Saccharomyces cerevisiae S288C: one gene and its partners. Changing the gene in region 1 together with any one later gene gives a genetic interaction. Each region holds a gene or a part of one and is shown in the gene's direction. Other genes may lie near its edges.

Region 1 (3,686 bases):
TCGCCACCATACTATAGTGCTGGAAATTTGGTATCATATGGTGCTTTCATTTGCGCATATCCTCTGATGATTACATGGTCGTTTATTGTACACTCAAAGTTATTGTTCAATGCTTTCAAAGATTGGGCTTTGAATTTGTGGGCCATGAGAAAACTTAAATCTTGGGTCACAATGTTCAAAAGCGATTACAGGGCGCTCGACGATTATGATGACCCACATTCTAATGCCATGAAAAACTATAAAGAAGTTCCAGATTGGTGGTATTTTGCCATATTGATAGGTTCACTTGTTGTTGGAATAGCTGTTGTAGAGCACTACCCAACAAATACACCAGTTTGGGGTCTTTTTGTTTGTTTAGGATTTAATTTTGTTTTCTTGATTCCAACTACTATCCTTCAAGCAACCACTGGTTATTCGTTTGGTTTGAATCTACTAATTGAAATGGTGATGGGGTACGCTTTACCAGGTAATCCAATCGCCATAATGATTTTGAAGGCTTTTGGTTATAACATCGACGGCCAAGCAGATAATTACGTTTCTAACTTAAAAATAGCGCATTATTGTAAGATTCCGCCAATGGCGCTATTCAGGGGACAATGTGTTATAGTTTTCATTCAGATATTTGTCAATCTAGGTGTTCTGAATTGGCAAATCTCCAATATCAAAGACTTTTGCACACCTCATCAAAACGCAAAATTCACCTGTCCTGATGCTGTGACCTACTATAATGCTTCCGTTGTCTGGGGTGCAATTGGGCCAAAAAGAATTTTCAATTACATTTATCCAATATTTAAATGGTGTTGGTTGATAGGCGCATGCATTGGCATATTTTTTGGTGTTTGGAAGCGCTGGGGTAAGTTTTATCCCAGATATTTTGACCCAATGTTATTTGTAGGTGGAATGCTTAATATGAGCCCTCCATATAACCTGATGTATTACACTTCTGGTATGATTGTTAGTTACATTTCCCAGTACTACATGAAAAGACACCATTTAAATCTGTGGGAGAAATATAATTATGTTTTATCGGCAGGCTTTTCAACGGGCTTGGTTTTATCAGCTATTATCATTTTCTTTGCTGTCCAATATAAAGACACAGCTTTTAATTGGTGGGGCAATACAGTTCCGTATGCTGGTGCCGATGGCGTTGGCTATCCTCTAAAGAACATAACTGATACAGCAAATGGCTATTTCGGCTATGCTCCAGGACACTATCCATGACTAGAACTTTTCTTAGAACGCTATCATTTCTTTATTTTTTTTTCTCCCCTGCACTTGTCTTTTCTATCAGTCACCTGCATGTATTTAGTTTTTATTCTTCTATCTATAGTACAGAGTTACTTTGATATGTAAAAAGCCATCATTTTGTCTTCATACCTGCCAAAACTATAACAGTACACTCTAGTTCAATATTTTTGACACTTTTCATGCTTCTCGCCTTTTCTCTGTGTATGCGGATGTTATCAATAAAGAAAAATGCTTTGATACCAGAATAGGAACTACATTTTTTTTTGGCTCATCGACGAAGTGATAAGGAGCCTGGCAATTGAAAATCAATCAAGAATATTTTTTGCTTCCAACTACAAGTAATGATGGTGTTTATTTTGCATGAATTTTGGTATTATTGCAGAAATACAAGTGGTAAATAGTTTTGTAAACGTATATTTCAAGTTGGAATGAGATGCGTTGCACTACTGGATAATTACTCCGGTTGAAGCATATTCAAATACAGTATCACCGTTTTTTGGGATGATTCAGGGTTAAGCCAGCCGAGTATTGAGAGAGATTGACAACATAGCATGCGGCTGATGTCAGATTTCGAACATTTGAAATTTTCTTGCCTTTATAAGACGTTTGCGAAATACAAGTTACAGGCCGACTACACAATGTATTTATTTCTATTTAATTTCTGCATTGGGTTAGCCTTTTAACGTCATAGTTCATTGTACTTCTCAGTCACTTCTTGATTTGCTTTTATTGGTTGAACATTTTTATGGACGGAACTAACGGGTGGCAAGAACTACCAATTATATTAGGGGAGCGGCAATCATTAAGAGAGGGAACGCTATAAATAGAGCAAAAAGGGCTAAGTATTGCTCTTAGTATTTTATATGCCAAGAAAGCAAACAGCCCTTTCTGTGTAGCATGTCCAACACTAGCGAAGATAACATTACCGTAAGGTTTGTAACCGAAAACGATAAGGAGGGTTGGCAAAGGCTTTGGAAATCCTATCAAGATTTTTATGAAGTCTCTTTTCCCGATGACTTGGACGATTTCAATTTCGGCAGATTCCTAGATCCTAACATTAAAATGTGGGCAGCCGTAGCTGTGGAAAGTTCGAGCGAAAAAATTATTGGAATGATAAACTTTTTCAACCATATGACTACTTGGGATTTCAAGGACAAGATATACATCAACGATCTCTATGTTGATGAGAATTCTAGGGTCAAAGGCGCGGGCGGCAAACTAATCCAATTTGTCTACGACGAAGCTGATAAACTGGGCACACCAAGCGTGTATTGGTGTACGGATGAGTCAAACCATAGAGCTCAGCTGCTATACGTCAAGGTCGGCTATAAAGCCCCAAAAATATTATACAAGAGGAAGGGATATTAAAAACACTAATTACCTCAGTAGTATGGATGTATAGAAAAAAAAAAATTAAAAACAATTAATCTTACTAGTTTTTGCCGAGTATTATAACATTAAGTGCTAGTGAGCGAGAAATAAAGAAAAGGAGGGAAAAATTAGACTTCAGCCACAGCAGAGGAACTGCTGGTTTCACCTTTTTTTTGAGCTTTTTCCTTGGTGCTGGCAGCCTTTTCAGCGGTAACGTAGGTTGTGTAGTCTAAGATTTGCAATAATTGCCATACAGACCATGCTAAAATGGATCCTAACAGCGTGCCAATCCAATAAATCCAGTGGTAATGAGGGAAGTATCTGGCTGCGACAGCAGCACCCAAGGACCTCGCAGGGTTGACACCTGTGCCTGTGTATGCAGTCAAAGCGACGTGTGCGATAAACAGGGAGATGCCGATGGGCAGCGCAGCCATAAAGTTGGTTTCACGCTTCTCCACAGCCGTCATTAAGACTGTTAAACATAGGATAGCGGTGCCGAACATCTCCAGGAACAGACCCCTCGTCCTAGAGCAGCCCAGGCCCAAAGAATTGGCAAAGAGGACTTCACCAGGTGTCATGGCGCTTGCAGCGCCTCCAGCGGCCATTCCAGCAACAATCTGCGAAACCCACATAACGACACATCTTGTAGGAGAGACGGCTCTCGCCAAGCACAGCGAAAGCGACATAGCAGGATTCAAAGCCCCACCAGAGACACCGGCAAAACACCAGATAGAAAACATGACGGAAAATCCGAAACCGATGGCAATCATAATCAATTGACCCGGATGGGAACCGTCAGGCGCTGCAACGAGTGCGACATCATGGTTAGCGACATTGCAGATAACGTAAGCGCACCATAAAAACATGAATGTGCCGCAGAACTCACCGACCGCAGCGATAAAGTGGTCTCTCAGGGTGTCCCTAGAGATTTTAAAGCGATGGTGCTTTGTTTCCGGCTGCTCCGGAGGGATGTAGGCGTCGTCCACACCGGTAGGATCCAGACGTGTATGTTGCTTGTCGGTATCGTTCGAATCGTTCGAAGACATGTTATAGTTAATTACATGTTA
Region 2 (4,432 bases), on another chromosome or scaffold:
GGGTAACCTGTTTTTCGTTGTACACGATATGCTACAGAATTGTCTTAATATGGGCTAAGAAAAAAAAAAGTCTGATTATTTCTGATACTGCAAAATATATACTGGCTTGGTTAAGAAAAGTGTTGCTTTAGTTCCTTTACATCAAGAGTCGTTAAATTGTTTTGTGTCATAACAGTAGTGGTCTTTTGAGACATCAATCGACTCTCAGGTTTTCCTTCTGTTCATCTTCTTGTTTTCGGTAAAGGTCAGCCAGCATATTTCAATTCTCTCTTTTTTGAAATAACATTATGTAATCTTTCAATCCTTTCTATCCAACGTCTGCTAAATAATTTATTCAAATGACATGTAGACCAGAAAATCGAACGTTGGATAATTTTTCATCCTGAATCATGTTGGTCTCAACTAGAGCAATTTTTTCACGTCCTCTGACACAAAACTCGATAAACTGTCGCATCAGTTTAAAAAAATATGTACGTGTATAATAACTGAATTTAAAAGGATAGTAAATAATTTTTGCATTTTATGGAATGTCAAAATACTAATAAGTCGCAAATATAGCTATCAAATACCATAATTTAGCTACTTATAGAAAGATGCCCAAATCCCGACCAAAAAGGACCATTGCGTCTTCCTCGTCAGTTTTTTATGGAAGTTCACCTTTCCAAAATGATGGCTACATCAAAGTAATGGAACTCGTATCACACATTGTCATTGAAATAAATCATTCACCTACCGCAACAACGGATGAAACGAGAAAGCAGAATAATCCGGAGCTGAAAGTGAAAGAACCAGTTTGTAACCTCAAGAAGTGGGAAAATAACACTAACTTTATATTGGAAGATCATACGAAGAATAAAACAAAACTTTCTAGCACAGATAGGATACGTAAGTGGTTTAGAAGACATATATTAAAGGAAGAGATCGAAATCCTTTCCCATGGAAAACAATTGAGTAGTATTGATGAGGATTATTGCCCTTCAAATGTTCTTGTAGGATGTTCAAGAGATCTAAATAAACTCAGATCATTTCAAAATTTTTAGGAATATAAAATTTCTCAGTAAGAAAAAGAAGATGAATGCGTTTATAGTATTTTAAGTTGTTCAATAGAATATCTTCAATATGTTCATATGTGGACTAAAAGAAGATTTTGGTATATGTCTATAAATTTATTGTTGGTAAACGCCATTAAGCAGCTTTCCAAGAATATGTTATCATTGAGGAGAAGTACGAAAACTGATTATGCACGATTAGGAAAAATTCTGCAAGGAGTATTAAAAAATGGCCTTCGAGAAGAAATGAAATCTCTTTCGATGAGCAATGGTCTTATGGATAATTTGATAGACATATGAAAAAGTCAAAAGTTTTTTTGGCCATATGCAGTAAAAACTTACCCTTCAAATTGCAAAACCATTAGTTTTATTATATTTTTTTTTTTTTCTTTCATTGAAGTATACACGAAATCCCATACGCAAATAAACAGTCGTTGTATCATCAATTTCGGCTGTCTGGATGGCGACTACGAGAGGAAGCTTGCTTGCCATGATAGGACCAATCTCAATTTTTAATTTTTCATTAACTAGCTAATTTTCTATAATGCTCTAAGTTTCCTTTTTCGTTTTGTTTCTTTATAGTGATGATGCTGTTATTGTGACGCTATCAAATCATATACTGTCATCAATCCTCATCTCATCGGCTCCGGAACGCGTTGAATATGTTGTTAAACAAGCTCTTTATAGCTAGCTATAGTAGAAAAGGAAGGAAAGAAGTCTAATCGCTGTATTATCGACTGACAAGGGTTGTCAGTTGCCTTCTTTTATTTTTTGTACTCCCCTGAATCGAGCGGATGTATTTTTTAACAAAGTATTCAGAATTGTTTTTGTATAATCAAAATTTGTCGACGCTAAGAAAATGACGGACGTCGTAATTCCGCTACTAGGTTTTGTGTGCTCATCGATATTTGACACCTATTTTCGACACTTTTAAGGTTATATACTTTGTTTCGGATGTGGGGTACACTCAGTTGACTGATTATGAAAGATATGGCGTAGCCGTTGGGTTAGGGTTATTACACAGAAATGAATTATACCAGTGAAATTATTCTCTTTATGTTTGTTCCTACATGTTTTCCAATCAGAAGGAATTGTTATATAAGGACACAAGAAATGTGTTGGTACGCTCTGCGCCTCAATGACGGTTTATCTATCTAAAACTATTTCTTTCTCGTAATAAAAATACAATAAATAATTAATAATAATATAGTTGATCGATATAACAAAAAAATAACAGCGAGGATGGTTAGTTCAAGTGTTTCCATTTTGGGGACTAGCGCCAAGGCATCCACTTCTCTAAGTAGAAAGGATGAAATTAAACTAACCCCTGAAACAAGGGAAGCTAGCTTGGACATTCCATACAAACCCATTATTGCATACTGGACGGTGATGGGTCTCTGTCTGATGATTGCCTTTGGTGGATTCATTTTTGGTTGGGATACAGGAACCATTTCAGGGTTTATTAACCAAACAGATTTCAAGAGAAGGTTTGGTGAGTTACAAAGGGACGGCAGTTTTCAACTATCAGATGTCAGGACAGGGCTAATTGTCGGTATCTTCAACATAGGTTGTGCTTTAGGTGGCCTAACGCTGGGACGCCTGGGCGATATTTATGGGCGTAAAATCGGCTTAATGTGTGTTATACTGGTGTATGTTGTTGGTATCGTGATCCAGATTGCTTCCTCTGACAAATGGTATCAATATTTTATTGGTAGAATTGTTTCTGGAATGGGTGTTGGAGGTGTTGCTGTGCTGTCGCCAACTTTGATCTCAGAAATTTCCCCAAAGCACCTAAGAGGCACTTGTGTCTCTTTTTACCAGCTAATGATTACCCTTGGAATTTTCTTGGGCTACTGTACCAATTATGGTACAAAGAAATATTCAAATTCAATACAGTGGCGGGTTCCCTTGGGTTTGTGTTTTGCGTGGGCAATCTTTATGGTGATTGGAATGGTTATGGTTCCGGAATCGCCCAGATATTTAGTAGAAAAAGGTAAGTATGAAGAAGCTAGAAGGTCTTTGGCCAAATCAAACAAGGTCACAGTTACTGATCCAGGCGTTGTTTTTGAGTTTGATACTATAGTTGCAAATATGGAATTAGAAAGGGCTGTTGGAAATGCCAGTTGGCACGAACTCTTCTCAAATAAAGGAGCAATTCTACCAAGGGTAATAATGGGAATCGTTATCCAGTCACTGCAACAGCTTACTGGCTGTAATTATTTTTTCTACTACGGCACGACCATTTTCAATGCTGTTGGAATGCAAGACTCTTTCGAGACTTCCATTGTCCTTGGGGCTGTTAATTTTGCTTCTACATTTGTTGCACTATACATTGTGGATAAATTTGGGCGTCGAAAATGTTTATTGTGGGGGTCTGCCTCGATGGCAATTTGTTTCGTCATATTCGCCACCGTTGGCGTCACTAGATTATGGCCACAAGGGAAAGACCAACCTTCTTCGCAAAGTGCTGGTAATGTTATGATCGTTTTTACTTGTTTCTTCATTTTCTCTTTTGCCATTACTTGGGCTCCTATCGCCTATGTCATTGTGGCAGAAACTTATCCATTAAGAGTTAAAAATCGTGCCATGGCCATTGCGGTTGGTGCGAACTGGATGTGGGGTTTCTTGATTGGATTTTTCACACCCTTTATCACTAGATCCATAGGATTTTCTTATGGCTATGTTTTCATGGGTTGCTTAATCTTTTCGTACTTCTACGTTTTCTTCTTTGTTTGCGAAACAAAGGGATTAACTCTGGAGGAAGTTAATGAAATGTACGAAGAAAGAATAAAGCCATGGAAGTCCGGAGGTTGGATTCCCAGTTCTAGAAGAACACCACAACCAACAAGCAGTACACCATTAGTTATTGTTGATAGTAAATAATTTCTAAATATTCTTGTACTCTGGTAAACAGAAATAACAACAGATAATGGATTGATGCTTTACTTCTATTTCATGGAGATTGGTTTTATATAATAGCCTTTATTAATGGCGTCACAAATTGAAAAAAAAATTAAAAAAAATAAGACGGACACATTTGCGACGCCGGTGAATAAATGCATATAAGTAGTTTATAAGCTAGCTACTACTCAGAAATAATTTCAAAAAAAAAAAGAAGTGGGCACTTTAAAATGAAGATTAGCTATAGTAAATTACTGTAGTATAACAACTACCTGCTATCTTTCTGAAAAAATCAGGCAATGTAAGGTCAAACTTGTACCATCGACATATATAATGTTTTGAGATATAAGTAACTAGAGACCAGTTTATACAGGATCTTACCTCTTTTTACCGTTATGAAAGCTTTATTACTGCGTTGTTAGTAAACACACATATTATTTTCGGGTAGTCCTGTCGATGTTCCAAGGCTTTGCATTTATCAT
Region 3 (3,269 bases), on another chromosome or scaffold:
AATCATCAAATACTTCGATGAAATCGCATACCTCAAAAAAGGGTCCCTCGGGCTTATATTTATTGAATGGCAATAATAATATTTATCCTACAGCTGAGACTCCAAGATTCCGGAAGCATACAGAACCCTTACAATTGCCATTAAATAGTTCCTTTTTAGACTATTCACGTGAATATTTTCAAGAACCACAAATGAAAAAGCAAGAGGCGGATGAACCTGGCAGTGTTGAGTATAATGCTAGATTGTGGAGACGTAACAGAAATGAAACTATTATCCAGGAAACACAGGGGGAGAAAAAATTATCGATTTATGGGAATTGGTCCAAAAAATTGATTAGTTTAAATAACAAAAGTCAACCAAAACTGATGAAGTTTGCCCAGTTTGAAGATCAGCTGATTACTGCAGATGATAGAAGTACCATTACAGTTTTTGATTGGGAGAAAGGAAAGACTTTGTCCAAATTCTCCAATGGTACTCCTTTTGGCACAAAAGTTACTGACCTGAAACTCATTAACGAGGATGACTCCGCCCTTTTATTGACAGGTTCTTCAGACGGTGTTATCAAAATATACAGAGACTACCAAGATGTCGACACCTTTAAAATTGTATCCGCCTGGAGAGGCTTGACCGATATGTTATTGACACCTAGATCCACAGGTTTACTAACCGAATGGTTACAAATAAGAGGATCATTGTTAACAACTGGTGATGTTAAGGTTATCCGTGTCTGGGATGCGCATACAGAAACGGTTGAAGTGGACATTCCTGCAAAAACATCATCTTTAATTACATCCTTGACGGCTGATCAGCTAGCAGGTAATATCTTCGTAGCAGGGTTTGCAGATGGCTCCCTGAGAGTATATGATCGCCGTCTCGATCCAAGAGATTCCATGATACGTCGCTGGAGAGCTGGAAATGATAAGCAGGGAGTTTGGATTAACAATGTTCATTTACAAAGAGGTGGTTACAGAGAATTGGTCAGTGGAGCTACCAATGGTGTTGTAGAGTTATGGGATATAAGGTCCGAAGATCCGGTAGAATCGTTTGTTGATCAAAACGTAACTTCTCAGTACGGTTCGCAACAAAAACCAACGACAATGACGTGCATGCAGGTTCATGAGCATGCTCCGATAATTGCGACAGGGACTAAACAAATAAAGATATGGACGACATCTGGAGATCTTTTGAATTCTTTTAAAAACTCACATAATAATGGCGTAACAAGTACATTAGCCGCTACGGGAATCCCAAAGTCACTGTCCTACTCTTCCACTTCTGATGCATTTTTATCTTCGATGGCTTTCCATCCTCATAGAATGATGATTGCGGCCACCAATTCTCACGATTCTATTGTAAATATCTACAAGTGTGAAGACGAGAGAATTGATTATTTTTGATATGTGCCATTTCTTTTTTTTTCTTTCATTTAGCTGCAAAAGAGATATATATATATATATATATATAATCTATTATATAATAAAAGTCGAGTAAAAAATTGGTCTGATTGTGAATTTAACAGCTGGTCGCAAGTTCTGGAATTTGTTGTTAATTATTGTTTCATGTTCGTATAATAATACGATGTTTAGTAAAGCAGAAAGTTCAGAATATTAAAAGTCTGTTCCAATAGTGTAGCGGCTATCACGTTGCCTTCACACGGCAAAGGTCCCGAGTTCGATCCTCGGTTGGAACATTTTAACATCGATTTTTTTGTTTGTCATAGCCAGACCAATTACGACGTTTAGAGGCATGCACTTTGTTAAATATTTTTTCTCTCTCCTTCGACATATTTTTTTTCCTGTTTACGTAACATTCATCCCCAGTCTTTGTATCATTTTTTTTTTTTTTTGGTGATGCGACAGCAATTCTGGCCGACACAGTCGTTTTCAAAGAAAAACTACCACAAACTATGGAACATAATTGAAAACAAAAACATTTACTTATAACCTACATAATGATTGAAGATACTTCATTGATCTTTACCACCTTCCTCGTTGAAATCTTTTCTACCATAGTCAGTATTTTTGGGAATTTTATAAAAACGCAAATTTTATCGAAATGAATCAAGGTTACACACAGCTTTCCGCACCGGAACTGAAGGAGACTAAAACATCGAAGCTAAATAAAATGAACAACTTTCGAAGCTCTCCGATTGCTGAGATAATTAATAAGATACCACCAGATTGCGGGAAGATACAGAATACAACATTTCCTGAGTTCAATCCAGCGTTAAGAAGACGACAACACGAACAGTGGCCTGCATACGAAAAACCAATAAGAGTTACTGACAGTATGTCACCACAGCTTTCTTCAATCAATTGTTTGCCAAATTTGTATCCCCACGGTACGCTACCATTACCAAACCCTTATTTATCCTATTTAAATCACATTGAAAAAGTTAATTGCCAAGATGTCAAGTTTAGTAACTGGAGTGTTTTACATAATTCGAATAATGGATTTGAAATTCCGACATATTTCAGTCCACGGACAACACAAAACATGCCTTGTTCCGAAAAAGTTGAAAGCTGGCTTGAAAGATTACCAATTTTTGTGGGGTTCGACGGTTATTTATTTACAAACTGCTTTGATTATGAATATATGTTGGATTGGGAAGAGACAGAATTTACATTCGAGAAAACATCATGTATGGAGACGGATTATTCTAAAGCTTTAACCGATACTGATATTATATATATTCAAGAGAAAAAAATTGAAGCGTTGATAAGAAACCAATATCTGAAGGAGTATGAATTTTCTCAAAAAGATTTTTGAATTTTGAAGAAAGCCATTAATATTTAAATGTAATTTTGTGTAGAATTATAATAAATTGATGTTTATGTATAGATCTCTCGAAATATATTTAAGAATATATAAATAATAAATGTACAACAATAAGCATAGAACATGGAATGAGTGTTCAAACTATATTCGTTTGTTTTTTAGATAGGAGTTCTCCAGACGTTTTCATCCAAGTTTTGTTTTGCATCATTTAAAGCTGCAGCAAGAACTTTGCTTTCTTCACTTGCAGACTCCGGTTTGACTTGAGTTTTTTTAATGGAAAGATTCCTCAAACTAGCGGCATTGACATTTACATTTCTTTTCGTGCTTCTTAAAATCAAGGAATCATTTGATTCGAGATTCTCCTTCTTTATTTCAGGTTGCGATATCGATGGAACTTCTGCAGTTGAAGAGCTGATATTTTTTGCCTCTTTCTCTTCTTTTTCCTGAGCGAGAAGTTCAACTAATTGATCGGGCTCAAGTTCTTTCGCAGA

Evidence for each region.
Region 2: mutations in HPA2 (region 1) and HXT10 together harm fitness more than expected from each alone (negative genetic interaction), as found in Saccharomyces cerevisiae (2 studies listed by BioGRID).
Region 3: mutations in HPA2 (region 1) and PFS1 together harm fitness more than expected from each alone (negative genetic interaction), as found in Saccharomyces cerevisiae (2 studies listed by BioGRID).

Annotation. Positions count from the first base shown.
Region 1 is NC_001148.4:921,839-925,524, reverse strand, and holds HPA2 (histone acetyltransferase), read left to right. Parts: upstream 1-2,145; coding exon 2,146-2,616; downstream 2,617-3,686. Other genes in the region: OPT2 (Opt2p), read left to right, coding at 1-1,221; AQY1 (Aqy1p), read right to left, coding at 2,748-3,665. UniProt on the Saccharomyces cerevisiae protein: N-acetyltransferase that acetylates histone H3 at 'Lys-14' and histone H4 at 'Lys-5' and 'Lys-12'. Also acetylates polyamines like putrescine, spermidine and spermine, and certain other small basic proteins like nuclear HMG proteins.
Region 2 is NC_001138.5:110,054-114,485, forward strand, and holds HXT10 (hexose transporter HXT10), read left to right. Parts: upstream 1-2,291; coding exon 2,292-3,932; downstream 3,933-4,432. Other genes in the region: YFL012W (uncharacterized protein), read left to right, coding at 594-1,040. UniProt on the Saccharomyces cerevisiae protein: Probable glucose transporter.
Region 3 is NC_001140.6:474,127-477,395, reverse strand, and holds PFS1 (Pfs1p), read left to right. Parts: upstream 1-2,055; coding exon 2,056-2,769; downstream 2,770-3,269. Other genes in the region: ubiquitin-binding TORC1 subunit KOG1, read left to right, coding at 1-1,397; SSP1 (Ssp1p), read right to left, coding at 2,937-3,269. UniProt on the Saccharomyces cerevisiae protein: Involved in the pathway that organizes the shaping and sizing of the prospore membrane (PSM) during sporulation. Required to localize MPC54 to all four spindle pole bodies, and localize DON1 and SPO14 to four prospore membranes.